Linked DNA regions of Tamandua tetradactyla. The protein of the gene in region 2 interacts with the protein of the main gene of each other region in a biochemical or structural test. Links are inferred from orthologs where the notes say so. Each region holds a gene or a part of one and is shown on either strand. Other genes may lie near its edges.

The links. The genes of interacting proteins can lie anywhere in the genome.
Region 1: the proteins of RBPJ (region 2) and SPEN form a complex in vitro, tested with the Homo sapiens proteins (2 studies listed by BioGRID and IntAct). The link is inferred for Tamandua tetradactyla from reciprocal best matches to the Homo sapiens genes RBPJ and SPEN.

What each region holds. Positions count from the first base shown.
Region 1 is NC_135328.1:210,041,915-210,049,679, forward strand, and holds the start of SPEN (msx2-interacting protein), read right to left. Parts: upstream 3,001-7,765; 5' UTR 2,730-3,000; coding exon 2,647-2,729; intron 2,165-2,646; exon of another isoform or gene 2,003-2,164; intron 1-2,002. UniProt on the Homo sapiens protein: May serve as a nuclear matrix platform that organizes and integrates transcriptional responses. In osteoblasts, supports transcription activation: synergizes with RUNX2 to enhance FGFR2-mediated activation of the osteocalcin FGF-responsive element (OCFRE).
Region 2 is NC_135345.1:26,658,157-26,665,946, forward strand, and holds the start of RBPJ (recombining binding protein suppressor of hairless), read left to right. Parts: upstream 1-4,729; 5' UTR 4,730-5,074; coding exon 5,075-5,454; intron 5,455-7,790. UniProt on the Homo sapiens protein: Transcriptional regulator that plays a central role in Notch signaling, a signaling pathway involved in cell-cell communication that regulates a broad spectrum of cell-fate determinations.

The DNA.
Region 1 (7,765 bases), on a different chromosome or scaffold from region 2:
AACAAGAAAGAGAGATTACCTGTTGGCGAGAAGAAATGGGAAGGGGCAAGTCTAAGGTCAGTTGTGAAGGGGAGATTATTCTCTATGTAGATTTGTATGCTCCTTGAAAGCTTACAAATATACTACTCAAAAGATTAGATACATTTGTTTAAAAATGAAAAAGTCACCTTTAAAATAAAGGAGTTTCAGGGACACACTGTCTTAGTTTTAAAATTACATGCTTTTAACAAAAGCATTTGCTTTTGCTCTGCAATAGGTAAGATACTCCTTTAAATGCAGTCTTGAGCAATGTACCAGCTAAGCCCTCTTAAATATAGTAATGTGTCTCCAGACTGCCGCTTTCCAAGGCAGCTAGCATCCTCCACCCCCTCCTCCTTTTATGCATTCTGAGATCTGCTCGGCAGATTCCCACATAAAGTGGGTCCTAGCCGCCATTTTAGAAAGTCATTCAAACAAGCTGGACCACAGCACCATCCACTTAAAAACCTTCTCAAAGTCCCCTGGTCGATTTCCTCTTTCCTTTCCCTACCCCCTCATCTTGCAGAGAAGTCAAACTCCCCACGACAAACATGCAAAGTCTCTGCAATCTGCATAATGCAAAACGACACATCTGGCCACATATCACCGAGAAGCAAAGAGAATGAGGCGATGCACGTGTTTGCACGTCGGTGCAAGCAAAATTCCCAGAGACCGACAGAGAAAAGTCCACGAGGAGGTAAAAGTGAGCACATCTAAGTTGTCTATACCCTCCAATAATCTGCACCTAAATGATTTTTCCACCAAAACACTGAAGATATTGAGCGGGGGAGGGCGGGGAAAGGGGTGGAGCAGCGCCAGGAAGAGAAAGTTCCCATCAGCTTCCCAATGGAGCCCTAGATCTCCTCTTTATCACAGGGGGACAGAGGCGAATCTTTGCTCCCTGCCTTCCCTTCGCCAGCTTCCTCAGGCACAACGTAGTAAACACAGGGAGAGTCCCTAGAAGCGCGCACCGCCCCCCCCCCACCAACCCTACTAAGGACAGCTTTAGCAGGTTATGAATGGTCTCACAATTCCCAACTCCTTTTCACACGCGGACACGCGCAAAGGCGCGCTCCAGCGGTGAAGATTTAATACCCCAGTAACAGCAACCACCAACAGAATCAATGATCCTCCATTTAAAAGGCTGAGAGGAGCTTTGCTGCCGCTGCTTCCATTTCCTTATCCAAGTGGCTTAAGAGCAAGAGACGCAATCTATTTTTCCCATGGTGACTCACTAATAAGGACGCTCCATAATTTTTTTCACTCACTAAACAGTAAGAAGAATTAAGAGCAAACCAAACTCAAAACCTTTTTAGGGTCTTGAACATCGGAAGAACAATAACTTTGGAGGACGATCATAAAGATTTGCAATGATCCTCCATTTGCACCGTATCTCAGTAAGTCGTTATTTTAGGTGTTTTATATTGAAACCTTTATCAGCCACGGTACACATAGATTTCACAAAGAAAACAAGCGCTAAATGCTACTAAATAAATATGTATCAAGAGCAAACTCTACTCTTATATTTCAAGGACAAATAAAATATTCAGGGAGGCTTAAAAAGCTTCATCTTCCAGTCTTAACAGGCTTGCATTTTTTTTAACCATTTGATTTAAGAACTCGGATGGAGGAAAAGACCGTCCTTTTTAAAGACAGAAAATTATAAGACCAGAGCAGCCGCAGCGGCAGAGGCTTCCCCTCCAGCGCCTGCCTTCCTACCTCTACCGGAGGCTGCTCGGACCCTGCAAGCATTTAGCTCCAGCATCCTCCTCACCCAGAGACTGACGAGGGCTGCAAGAAGGAAGGCGAAAGAGTCCAAACAGAGGCACCAACTCATTTTCTGACATCATTCTCTACTCCACTCCGAAAAAAAAGACAAAATGTTAATTTGCCATTTCCACAGAGCGTCTAGGTCTACAGATCCTACGTGTGAGAGGTCCCGAGAAGAGTCTTTCCAGTTCAGAGATACTCCTTCATTACCTACCAAGACTTCTGGTTTTGTATGATCTTTTCTTTCACACAAAAACCTCTTGAAGCCAGACATTTTACGCGCCCGCGCAGCGGGAAGCTTAGTTGCTGCGGGACTCGGGACTTTGCCGCGCCGGAGGGCTGTGAGGCGGGGACGGGTTCGGGTCCCGGTCCGCCCGCGGCCCTCAGTCGCCTCTCGCTTCTGTCTCGCCGGGCCGGGCGGCAAGGCGCCGTCCCAGAGGCGGGAGAGCGGCTCGCCGCGGCAGCAGGCGCGCAAGGACGCGACCCCACAAGGGAGCTCCACCGAGCGTGTGGCTCCGACCGGCGTCTTCGCCACCCTGAGGCAGCCCACCCCACGCCTGCTTCGAGGAGGCCGAACAACAGTCTCCTTATTCGGAAGGCTGAGGGCGGCAGCCGGGACCCCGCGGGCGCCCTTCGCGGCCGCGGCTCGGCGGCCCGGGCTCCGCCGAGGCCCGAGGCCCAACGCCGGGACGCGGACCGAGCGGCTGACGAGGGCAGCCCGCGCGCTCCGCACCCGCCCGAGGGTCTGGGGCCGGGGTCCTCCTCACCAGTTCCGAGCACGGGGAAGGGCAGGCAACCGGCCGGAGCGGGAAGCGGCGCCCGAGGTGAGAGCGCGGTCTCGGCCCTCGTGTCACTCACCGTTTAAAATGTTCGATGATCTTCTCTTCCCGCACATTCTCTGGTAAGTTGCCCACCCAGAGGTGCCTGGTTTCCCGGACCATGCTGGACGGTGTGCCGGCGACCGCTGCTGCGGGTTCTCCCTCGCCGGCTTCGTACAAGACAGTCAGCGCCAGGAGGCGGGCGCGGCGACGGCGGCGGCTGCGGCGGTGGCGTCGGCAGCGGCGGCGGCTCCTCCGGCTCCCCCCCGTGCAGAGACCATCCCTCTCCCCCAGGTTCTGACTCTCGGGCTCCGCAGCTCAGCTCTGCCGCCACCACACACCCGAAGCCGACCCTCGCGCTCCGGTGGCGCATGCGCCCGGGCGGCGGCGGGAGGGGGGAGCAGGGAGGAGGGGCGAGCGGGACCCGGGCGGCAGCGACTACGACGGAGCTGGCGCTGTGGCAGCCGGACGCTTCCCACCGGCGCGCGCGCGGCCCGCCTCTCGCCACCTCCCCTCGCTGCGGGCGCGTCCGCCCGCCTGCCGGCCCGCAGAGGATCCGAAAGCCTCCCAGCCGGCGCGCAAGCGCGCGGGGGCGGGCGGGGGAGGGAGGAACGCGGGGCGGGGAAGGAACGCTCGCGCGCTCTGTCCTGGTGCGCAGGCGCGCAGCCGTGGGGGAGGCTGGCCGCGGGGCGGTGCCGGGCGCGGAGCATGGAGAGGCAGGAACTGTCTCTGTCCCCTCGCACTGGCGTCCCCAGGCGCTAGCCTGGTGAAAGAAAAGAGAGAAATGGGGTTGATTTTGACAGGGCTGCATGTGCCAGCAGCTTCTACTAAAAGAAGCCAGGTCACCTCCCCAGTACACCCTTCAAAGCAGCGTCTTTTCGCTTCCGGGCACTTGGATCCCCGCCTGCTTGGGAAAGTGGTCAGAACTAGGCCGCTCTTCTCACCGCCCAACTAAGCAATGACGGCTATAGAAACCCATCCCTCCCAAGAATCATTAGCTTGTAACGTGAAGCAATTTTATTTTATATAGGATCTTGCGAAACCTTTTTCAAGATACCCTTGCTGATCGTTACGGTATACCAGGAATAGAAGTGAAATGAAACAGTTATATGTCTAGTATGTGCTTGTCATTATTAAATATTTTACTGGGAAGCAGAGGAAGGGATTAGACCACTGGCCTTTCATGGACTATGGAATTTTGAAACCTATAGTTGAACTTTATATAAAAGTTTATTTAAAAAGCGAGCTTTAAATGTTCTAAGAAATTATTATAGTGATGAATACACACCTATGTGATGATAATGTGAGTTACTAATTATATACCAAGAATGGAATGATCATATGGTAAGAATATTCGTTTTTGTATGTTATGTTTAAAAATAAATAAAAAGCGAGCTTACCGAAATCCGGGTAAGCCCCCACAAAGTAAAGCCAACTTTACTAAACTGAGTCCAGAAAAATGGAATTTTTAGAATAGAACAGTCAGCAACTCCGTTTTCTTTTCCATTTTTCACCTTCAGTAATAGTATCAGAGGTGTGGTCCTTAAGATAGAAGCCAGGTTTTAAATATTTAATCCTATTCATTGTCCCCCTAAGTAACAAACCAACATATCATCAAACTATGTTAACTTTAATAAGAAAATATTGTCACCATAACCAGTGATGATTCAGCGCTAATATCTGGGGTTACCTGTTTATATTTATTTCTTTTCTTCCACAGAAGTTAAAGCTTCACATTGGTTTTTTGTTTGTATAACAAACTTTCTTCATGACTGCGTTGGAGAGAGAGCATACAACTACCTGAGAATCACATCAGACTTTCCTGTACTTAGTTTACTAGTCTACACTGTATTTCATAAATTTAATCTCAGCAACTCTGGTCAACTGAGATTCTTTTCCCTCTCTCAAGACATTCAGAAGGCTAAGCAAGTCCACCCTTTACACAACTGCAACAATTTCTGTCCAAGATGCTCTAGCTCAGGGGACAGCCTTGCAAACTTGGTTGACATTTTTCCATTGAACTGATTTTGGAATTTTGACAAGTTACTTCTAAAACTTCAGATTCTTGGCCAGCTACTACTATAACTGGTTTATTTTATATGATATAGTCCTACCTTATGTTTTCATTTTCTATCTCAGTGCATTTTTTTTTCCTGGACTATTGACTTGAACCTCAGTTAAGAAGCAGGAACGAAGTCTAAAAAGGAAGACTAAATAGAAAGAAAAAGGAAGTCTAAAAAAATTGGAAACAAAGCACCACCACAATCATGGCACACATTCATAATTTAGTTAAGGTATTTAATGCCACTGTGGAGATTGACCTTATCATCCTGCAACCCAAAAAGTAACTAAATGAAATGGAAATTCTGTTCTTGAAAATATTTTAGAATTGATTCCTCCTTCGACAAAAAGAAAAACAACTCAACCTGCATTAAGATTGGCTACTTACATTTGGTCATTCCACTTTCACGACAACTAACACCTGTAAAATGCAGTCAGTACACTATTACCTAAACTCATGAACTATAATACCTTGCATGTGACTGTAGTTAGCAAGCACTGACTTACATGCATTTTTCAATGAGGCATTAATTTCAGTACAAGCAACCACATTTTCAGATACATTTTGAAATGTAATGTAAATTACTCGTTTAAAACCTGATAAGCTCTAAATTAACTGAAATCTCTCTCATGTCACCATGAAAACAGAAGAGGCCCAGCTCAATTATATTTCAAGGGGCAACTGATAAAGAGGAGGTTTCGGAACACAGTATCTTGGAATTAGAAAAATAAAGGGCAGACCTTACCTTGAGTGTAGACTTCAGTTAAAATCATGAAGAAAGAGTCAAGAGCTGAAAAACTGTTTAAACTTCTTTTAAAAGCAAAATTATTGGAAGAGAAACTACTTAATGATTAAATGTGTATTTTATATACATCTATGAGCCCCACAGAGCAATAAAAGGATAAACTAGAACAAAATAAGAACTAATTAAGATGTATTCATAATACCTTCTCCATGGTACTAAAATAAGAGGACAGTAAGTGAAAATAAAAAGCAGCATGCTTAACAGCTAAATACAAAATGAAATGTCATTCTCCTAGGTTAGTTTAAAAAGATCTTGCTCTACAGCTATTCCCCATGTAAAAAACTGAGTAGATAACTTAATTTTGATAATTAAATTCGAAATAGGCAAAGAAGAAATTATGTTAGAAGATTACTAATGTACAAATTGTTAAGCAAAGTCGAGTTAAACCTCTCTCAAAGATTCTTAAAGATCACAGAATGTCAAAAAGATTAGAAGCAAATGTCAAATTAAGATAAAATTTCTCATTTTACCAGAAATGTATAAAACAACCCAGAAACTATTATCTAACAACTTAAAAGCAAGCAAAAATCCTGTTAAACATTATTTTATGGAACCTCACACTCCAATTCTCTTGAAGGGTTAATTTCCAGAAAACTCCCTGTTTTCAGAATTATGGGCATCAAAAACAGCAAAAGAAGTATCCATTTTAGTTTTTTATTTTAATCCAATAGATACACCTCAAAAGTGAATTCTAGGTTTATATGTGTCAATAGTTATCAGTCTAAATAGATATACAGATTATTTAATGAGTAAAACAAATGTTAATTCTTTCCTGTTCAAAATTGTAATATGCTCCTATGATGCCAAAAAAAACGCTACTCTAATTTCATTTAAACAAACTTTTTAAAAGGAAAATTAGCCTTTAGATATGGAGCTAAAATGAGCAATTCAGGTTGAAATTCTACCCATTTCTATAAAAGTCATGCCCATGCATGAATTCTTTCAGGATACTAATTCTTTAAGGATAGCAAACACTACTTTACCTTGAACTTTGGGAAATTTTTAAAACACTGATGATGTCAATGATAGACATCACAGTGTAATGGAAACAGCCCTAGGTTAAGTGTTAAAAATTCCATTTGCAATTTTGTTACAAATATTAACAAGAGCAGAATTTCTTCATAAGAATTCCTCTTTGTATGTTTTCAATAGAAAGGCAACCCACTCTGTTATTCTCTGATGACTTTATATTTATCTTATTTTAACAAGCAACAATCGATGCTCATTGAAAAAGGTCAAAAAGTAGGGGTAATGTCTTTCCTCTGTATGATAAATGGATGGTGAAGTGATTGTCCTCATATAAGTACTAAAGATCACTCAGAAAGGTGACATTAAAGCAGAGCCATTTAAAAAGGGGAATTAAAGGGCAATTAAAGTAGATTTGTTTTTAATCAGGTCTTATTTTCACACTGTGAGGAGCGCCTGTATTTAGGATGCTAGACATGCTCAAAGAGTTCAGCCATGCATAACGGAAGCCAGTTGGGGAAAGCATCTGAGCATCTGAGTCTCAAACTTGGGCTTTTCAATACTAACCTGGCCACCAGAGCAGACACATATTGCTATTTAAACAGGAAAACAGAATAGTCACCAGATATTTAACCTGATATTTTACAAATCAGGTCCCAAGCTACTGAAATTAAACTGTTTAATAATAATGATGTACACTTAAAATAAAAGCATCTGTTCCTGAAGATGTTATATAAAAATATATTAACTTGCTCTAAAATGATCAAAGCCCCAACCACGTGAGAACTTGAAAATACTGCAAACTCCCTTTCTATTATTAGAATCAGTCTTTTTTTAAAAAGTAGGAAATAAAGCAGATAACACTAATGATATGATACTACTATCAGAGTGTTTGCAATCTTAACAGACTCACTGAGAAAGCAAGCACACTCTAGTGAAATGATCTACATATAAATTATTATAACTCCAATCAGCTGATAAGTACTAGCTTGCTAGTACATCTCTAGATAATTCTTTCAGCAAACTAACATTTTAAATCTACTGGTCAAACCTATAAAAAGTTAAATAATTTGTTTAAATTTAGTTTTTCAGAAAACATGAAGATAAAGGCTGATTATTTTCTTTTACAAAATCTATCCTTATGTTTTTACATACTTTTTCCCTGGAAAGTTGCCAAAAATAACTCTTCTCTATATTTAAGGAAATACTGCTGCTGAACTAAGGAAATATTTGCTGAATCCTATTTAGAATAAAATTTACAAATATTTGTGAAATTTGACTAAAAATTACACTGGAAAGATATTCACAAATGTTAATCATGGTATT
Region 2 (7,790 bases):
GCACGTGGTACAAAAGTCAAAGGATTCAAGATAGCAGACAGTGAGATAAGCCAACCCCTCCCCTCTGTTCGCCAACCATCAAGTCCCTTACTAGAATGCAGTTAACGTTATAGTTTCTATTGTATCCTCCCAGAGTCATTTTAGATACATATAGGTAAGTAAGTATATATTTATCTAACACTGTTTTGCACTTGGCTTTTTGAATTTACTGTATCTTTGTGAACCTTCCATGTAAGTACATAAATGGCAGCCTCTGCTTATTAACAGATGTATACTATTCCATTTTATAAATACAGCATGATCTTTTAAAATAAGACATCTCTTAATGGATATTTAGGCTTAATGGAATGTATTTACCAGTACGTTCTACCATAAATGGTGCTGTAATAGATAGGTAATTTTACATATGTGAGTATAGTCATAAGATAAATTTATAGGAATTGAATTGTAAGACTAACAGGTAGGGATAAAGTTTGCCAAAAAGCTTTCCATAAATATCAAACACATTTTTACTCCTACTAGTAACCAGAGATTCTAAAATGGAGAATAAAGGAACCCCTTAAAGTAAGTGTGACTTCATTTACTGGTCTAACCCAGGAGTAAGAACTTTTAATTTTTACCTAAAGTCAAGACAGGAGGTTGATCTGTAGACTTTCCCCTTCTTTCCATGTAGGCTTGCACTAGGTTACACAGTACTGGTATAACTTCAATGCTGCTTTGAAACCTAAAAGGCTTACTGAGTCTTCAAAATCATTTTTGTTCTCCTCTAAAGAGGACACCCCACTCATTCTAAAAATATGGGGTACCTGCCTACCATGAACCAAGCATTGTTCCAGGGGCTGAGGCTTGAACAGTGAATAAAATAGACAAGAATCCTAAGTGAGCCTTAAGGTGCCAGAGGGAAGAACATGCCAGGCAGCAGAATGAGCAAGGTCTGGAGTTGACAGTGTGCTGTGTATCCCAGGAGCAAGGAAGCAGCTGGTTAGTGCTGAACGAGTAAGGTGGAGAGTAAGAGATGTGAGGTCAAAGAGGTTTCTGCTGCAGGGCAGACTGTGAAGGGACGCTCAGTGAAATGGGAAAAGCACTGGAGAATTGTGAACCCAGGGTCACAGTAGTTTTGCATGCTCTACTGAGAACAGAATGAGGGGAAGCGAGATAAGAAGAAGGGTTATCAGTTAGGAGACTTCCTACAAGATAGGGTAGAAATGAGATAACTTAGACTGGGTGAGTAGAAACTGACATGAAATTGGCTTTTGGATGTATTTTGAAGTCGGCATGATTTTCTCTCAGGTTGGATGTTGAATGTGAGAGAAAAAGGAGGCAAGAACAGCTTCAAGTTTTTTGGTTTAAGTTAGTGGAAGGATGGATTTGTCATTTACTGAGATGGAGAGAAGATCACAGGCAGAGCAGTTTCAGGGCAGGGTTTTAGTGTGAAGATGAGGCGTTATGATTATACTTGTGGTTATGCCTTTTCAAGGTTGCTGGGACTTTCAGGTCATAGTTCCAAATTCGATCAGTGACCTGGACTAGACCACAAGTGAAATGTCTTTTCGGGAGGAAGGCTCCCAGGAATATGTGTCCAGGCCATGGTCCTCCTTTTGAGCTAAACTGTTCCAAACCAGGATGGCTTTGAGATTAAATGCTATTTTTCTATGCGGAATACATAATGAAAGGGTTAGGTACACACATACACACTAACACCTTTGAAAACAACAGAAACTTGATTTTACTGTCCACTACAAAACCATCAGAACATGAGCTCCTATTAGAAGGCTCAGCGTCCTTCAGGAATCAAAATTCAATTCTACATTTGCGGATCTATGGGGTGCTCTCAGCAAGGAAGCAATGTTAGAAAAGGTTGGTATAGAAACCATATCCGGGGCAATCTAAAATGTGCCTGACTGAAGAATGTAACTAGGAACTCACTGTACAAAATAAAAACCCAAAAGGAAAGGGATACAGTTAAAACAGTGGTCACTAAAGCACCCCACAAAACAATACCTAAAATGGAATGAATACTCAAAGAAAATATGGAAAGGGGAAGGGAAGCAAAACCAAAATTATGATTCACATTAACTGAGGGAAAGAAAAAAGAACAGAAACTGGTACGAAAGGATTACTTCAAAAGGTTAAAAAGATTAGGGGCGGAAGACGGATTTTCAAAAATCGTGTCCTTGAACGGGAAGCAAAAACTAGCCAACAATTTGAGAGCGCAGAGACCGGCATTTTTTTTTTTCCTACCCAACTCATCAGGCCAGCGCGTACAACTGAAAGGAAAAAACAATTGCTAAAGGAAGAGTAGCTAAGGGAATCCGAACTTGCTTTAAAGCAAGCGAAGTGGTAACCAGACTAGGTGACTCAGGCATGACTCAACCCTGACACTGGGGCTGTCTGTCAGCTTCTGGAGGTGGGGAGCAGCGGCGTCTTACACATTTTAGGAAAGTACCAGGCTCGTGAAGGGCGACACTAAATGTCCCCGGGAGTTAGGTCTGGGGCTCCTCCTGCCTTAGAGTCTGACTTCTTACCCCTTTCACGCCGGGAGCGGTTTCTAGTCTCCCAAGTTCCCCTACTTTCCTACGGACCACTTCTTCCACGAAGAGTCACGAACGCGAGTGTGTGCGAGACGTCCAGCCTCCTCCCTGCGCATCCCGCCACGCGCCCACCGGTCCCGCCTCCGCGGAGTGCCGCTCCCTTTCCACCCCGCCTGCCGCCAGGACACGAGCTGCACGAACAGCGCCCAGAGCTGCACGAGACAAACACCTGTACTGCCTGGGCTCCGCGAGACTTGGGGCCGAGGTATAGGCAACAGCGGGCACGTTCTCGCGAGGTTTAGCGAATTTCCCACGGCCCGTGTTGTGTCTGAGGCGAGTAGTGGAAGGCGGTGGGAAGGAGGTGCAGCGTGAGACTAGGCTGCCCGCATTGGGCACATGCGCAGTGTGGCTCGCGCGTGCCGCGCCAATCCTGCAGCGCCTTCAAGCAGGTTTCGAGCGTATTCCAGTTCTCCGGGTTTTGGGGCTCCCTGTGGGAGGCAGTACAGGATCTGGGAATCTCTAGGAAAGGAAAGGCGGAGTAGAGCGGGAGAGTGGGGGGACCCCCAGGTGCGGGGGAGGGGTGAAGTTCGGGCCCTGCACTTTTCAATTAAATGCTAGGACCGTCCAAAATTGCTCCCGGCTTTCAGACCTTAGGGCTCTCGATGTACGTGGCGGGCAGCTGGCAGCATCCTTGGCTGTGCCAGGCCCATGGAAGGGCCGGTTCCCTGGGCAGAGTTGGCCCTATATTCACCTGGCTCACTCATGGTGGCTGGTGCGTTGGGCCCCTAGAGAGGCTCACGCGGCAGGCAGGTCACTGCACCGAGTGGCAGGGAATGAGCTTTGCGGCCTCTGGCCAGGGCCGTGGTCGGGGGTGGGTGGGGAGGGGCTGTGGTGATAGTGGCTTTCAATTCCAACTCAGTTTACACTACGGAGAAAACTGCTCGGCGCTCTAGCGTGTGTATGTAAGGTGGACATTCTAGATGACTTTGCAAGAGGCCTTGGCCTGACCTCACTTCGCACCCAAGGAGTAGAAGTCTAAGGCGACAGAGTTCAACCACAAAAGTTTTCCGTTTACAGAGCACTGGAGGGGCGGATCACGTTGTAATTATGTTCGGCCCTCCATTAGCAATGGGGATCAAAAGAATAAAGATAGTTCCTTGGTCTGTCACTTGCCCTAACCCCAGGCATATTTGTAGTTCCAGCACCTTATACTGAGGCGTCCAATGAACGTTTGAATGAATGAAAAGGGCTGGGAACCCAGAGTGAGCGGGAAGCCACTTGGAAAACACCCATTTGAGGAGGTGTTTCATCTAGGCCTGTGAAACGCGGCAGATTTTCCCAGGACCCCTCCTCCCTATCCCTCGGCCCCGCCTTCTGACCCCTCCATTCCCCGTCCCTGTTGTAATCCCCTCCAGTTTTCCTCAGTCTCCACGTACGTCCCTCAGGGCACGTCTCAAAACCCGGATAACTGGAGCGCTCCCCATGGACCACACGGAGGGCTCGCCCGCGGAGGAGCCGCCTGCGCATGCTCCATTGCTTGGGTAGGTTTCCAGGGAAGGCAGCAAGCTGGATCCCCTACTCCGCGGGCGGCGCGAGGCGTCTGGCTTTCGCGGCGGCTGCGAAGGGAAAAGGAACTAGGGGGCTGGGTGGAATCGAGGAGCGAGGAAAAAGGGAAGGGGCGGGGGAGAGGGACTAGAGAAGGCTTCGGGGGAATCTCGCGAGGGTTGGAGTTTTGGCGAGAGTTTGTGGAAGATGGCGCCTGTTGTGACAGGGTAAGTCGGGGGAATCCGAGCGCTGCGAACGGGGAAAGTTGCGGGCGTCTCACAGCCCACGGCGGGCGGCGGGTTCGGGTGCCAGGGCGCGCTCGGCGTCGGGGGATCGCAGGAGCGGCGGCGTGTGCACGGAGCCCTGTGGCTGTGCGCTGTCCGCGGTGTGCCGCGGTGGCTCGGGCTCCGGCGCGTGAGGGCGGGCGGCGGCGGCGGCGGCGGCGACGGCGAGGCCGGCGGGTGTGGGCGTGAGTGCGGCGGGGCGCGCGGGGCCCGCGGGCGCTGTGCCTGCCGCTCGCCTCCCGCGCCGCTGCAGCCGTCCGTGGACCCTGCCTCCCAGCTCCGTGCAGCTTTGTTCCTCGCGGCGGTGGTCGCCTCGTTGCCTGGCCGGTGCCCCTGGCCCCGGGCGCTTTGTCTTTCTCCTCTGCTCCTCGCGACCCTCTACCCCCGGCCCTTTGTTTCGCCGTCTTGGGCGCTTTGTCTGACCCGTAGCGCCCCGCATCCCTTTTCCGTCTCTTCTCCTCCGCTCCCTTGCTCCTTTGTTTTGCCCCAGTCTACCCGGCAGTCCAGTGACCTACCACAGTTTAGACACCAGGTTTCTGACTTTTAATTTTTCTTGAATTGTATTTCTCATGTGTTTCCCCTCTTTCATTTCTGCTTGATCTTTCGTCGCCCCCAGAGGCTTTTGTCTCCCCGACCCAGTGGTTTATTTCCTCGCACTCCCCCCGTCACCATCCCGCTCCCATCATCGGTTGATTTATCCACTACCCACGGTGTATGTCTGCTGAACTGTCTCAGCGCGGAGGACTCCATCTGGTGCTTCTAAGGGCAGACCCTGCGGGGTGTTGTTTTAGTGGGTCTGAAAGATGCATGGTGATACTTAGTTTCCTCCCCGGCTCCACTCCTCCCTCCGCATCCCTTTCTCTCGGGATTACAATGTCTTCAGTTTTCTTTGCGGTTTCTGGGCCCGTAGTTGTTTTGCTTGCTAACAGTAGCCCTGGAAAAGAGTCTGTGATGGTTCTTGCCCACCTGCCCCGCCGCTCTCGCCCTCCCCTCGGTTCCGGACGGCCTAGGCCAAGGGCAGCAGTCTGTAGCTTTGCATCTGGGTTACCTGAGGATGGGCGAAAGGTATTTAAGACGTTCAAAGGAGACGCAAGGTATTTTTTTCTGTTGGTGTTTGAGAATAGTTTCGGATACCATGTTAGATACTCATTTGATGTGTAAGTAGGAGTTGCGTGAATTTTGTTGTTAAAAACTTGTGAGTGTTGGGATGGAGAATTTCAGTATTTTCTAGAATGTATATCTAGAGTCTGGTTAACTTTTGTTTTATAAAAAGGAAGGAAGACATTCTGCTTGGGAATTGATTTGATATAAATGTTTTGTTTTTTTCTTAAGCACCAGATAGGCACAGTTATGTGGATTTTGCTCTGTATATTTATGAAAACCCTTCTGTTCCTTTATTCGGGTTGAAATGAGGAGAGCACTTAAGAGTGCAGTTTCTGGTTGATGAATACTGTTTCTAGGATCTTTCTGAACTATATTAATAAAATGCAATTAAAAGTTATATAAGTAATAGTCTTAAGGAAGATTGTCTTAAAGTTAGTTACGTGCATTTCCTAATATGTTAAAGGAACATTACGTGGTTCCAAATTCTCATTGTTACGTTAGTGTTAAAATCTTGGTGGTGGTGTATTTTAATGGCTTGAATTATTCTAGTGCTCAGAATATGAGATATTAGACTTACCAGGATAACTAGAATGAATATATTCAGGGTTTTAAAAATTACTATTTTTCTCCTATTGGCCACTATTTTTAGAAGATATGTTACTTAAAGAATCATTTTGTCATGTCATTTCATTTGTAAACTGATGTTCCTCATAAGATGCTGAGAGAATTTACAAGATCTAGTCTGAGGAATATTGGTGGACTGAAAAACTTTTTTTTTTTTTTGGCTGATGATTGTGGTTAAAATTAGTAATTTAAATTTTAATTAATGGAAATCATAGTTTCGTGATTTATACTGGGAGGTGTATGAAAATTTGCAGTTTAGTTTCCATGAGTGGATTTTACCAATAACCATTTGCTTCCCTTGTTCTTAGTGCATAATCATCCTTTGGAAGTAAAATTGTTGAGCACACTGTTGGTTCTGAATGGAAGATATTTTATTCTGACTTGTACACACACACACACACACACACACACACACACACACAAGGGCAACTTTTACATTTTGCATTTTATTTCTAAATCATGTACTTTTTCGTGACATAAGGCCTTTATTTTGTGACTAAAAATAAAACAGTATCTTTACTAAATTAAATTATATCCAGCAGCATATATAGAAATATACAGTATGAGTTGTAGCAGGAGAACTTTCATTCTGAATATAGACTATAAAATCTTTAAATTTGTCATCCAAGTGTATTGCAGATAGGTCTATGGAAAATTTATTTTCAGGAAAAAATGTGGAGACACATTTGCAGTAATTTAGGATTGATTCTAAATATGCTTCTAGGCATTAAATTTCATGCATTAGGTTTGCTGAAAGGCTGCCTTTTACTCTATACCAACAGATTTCTATCGATATCTTTTAAGTGGCTAGAATATAAAAAAATGGTTTAGATAAAAAGCTTCTCTTGCCACATGTAATTCATTAAATACTTTTTGGGAGACTAGATTGGTAAGGCATTAGAAAAAAGGATTTTGGTAGTTCTTTCATATCTTCTTAATTCTGGTATGTGGTAATTTTTAAATTAAAACTTCGGGTTTGGATTTAAAGCATTATTTTGCATTTTGCTTCCTCCTAATACTAAATTTCAGCTAGGGGCAGTTTTTTCTCATGGATTGACTTAAAGTTGTTATTTTTGGCATCTGGCTTTGTGATTATTTCCAAGTTACTATACTTCCCCTCAGCCAGTTTCCTAACTGTGTAGTAAAATGGGAATTGTAATACTTGCCCTATCTGTACAGGATTGCTGTGCATTAAGATTTGCAGAGAATATCCTTGGATATAAGGGATGGTTGGGGTCTAGGAATTGTTGCTGAATAAGTAGGTCATGTTTTATAGGAAATCAAATGAGAGGTTATGAACTCTACTCGGTTCTTGGCAAGTTACAGTGGTGATGGTAGGATGAAAAAAATCCGAATGTGTATTATAGTTTGGGTAATAAAGCAGATACTTTTTATTCTTATAAACTTGAGGGAGAGGGACATGTGAAACAAATGATAGGGTGGTATTTTGTGTGTGTGTTTGTGTGTGTGTGTAAAAGATTGAAGATCTGTCAAACCTAAATGTAATAACACATTGTAACTTATGAGATGACTTTCTTCTTGACTTCTTTCAAAATAAAATAGTAGCATAAAATGTTTTCACAGACTCTAGGCCAATTATTAACAGTAATGACAATTTTAACAATACTTTTTTTTTTTTAATGCTTTGTCATTTACTCTCAAGAATATTTCTGACAATTAGGGCTCTATTTGCAGACTTGAA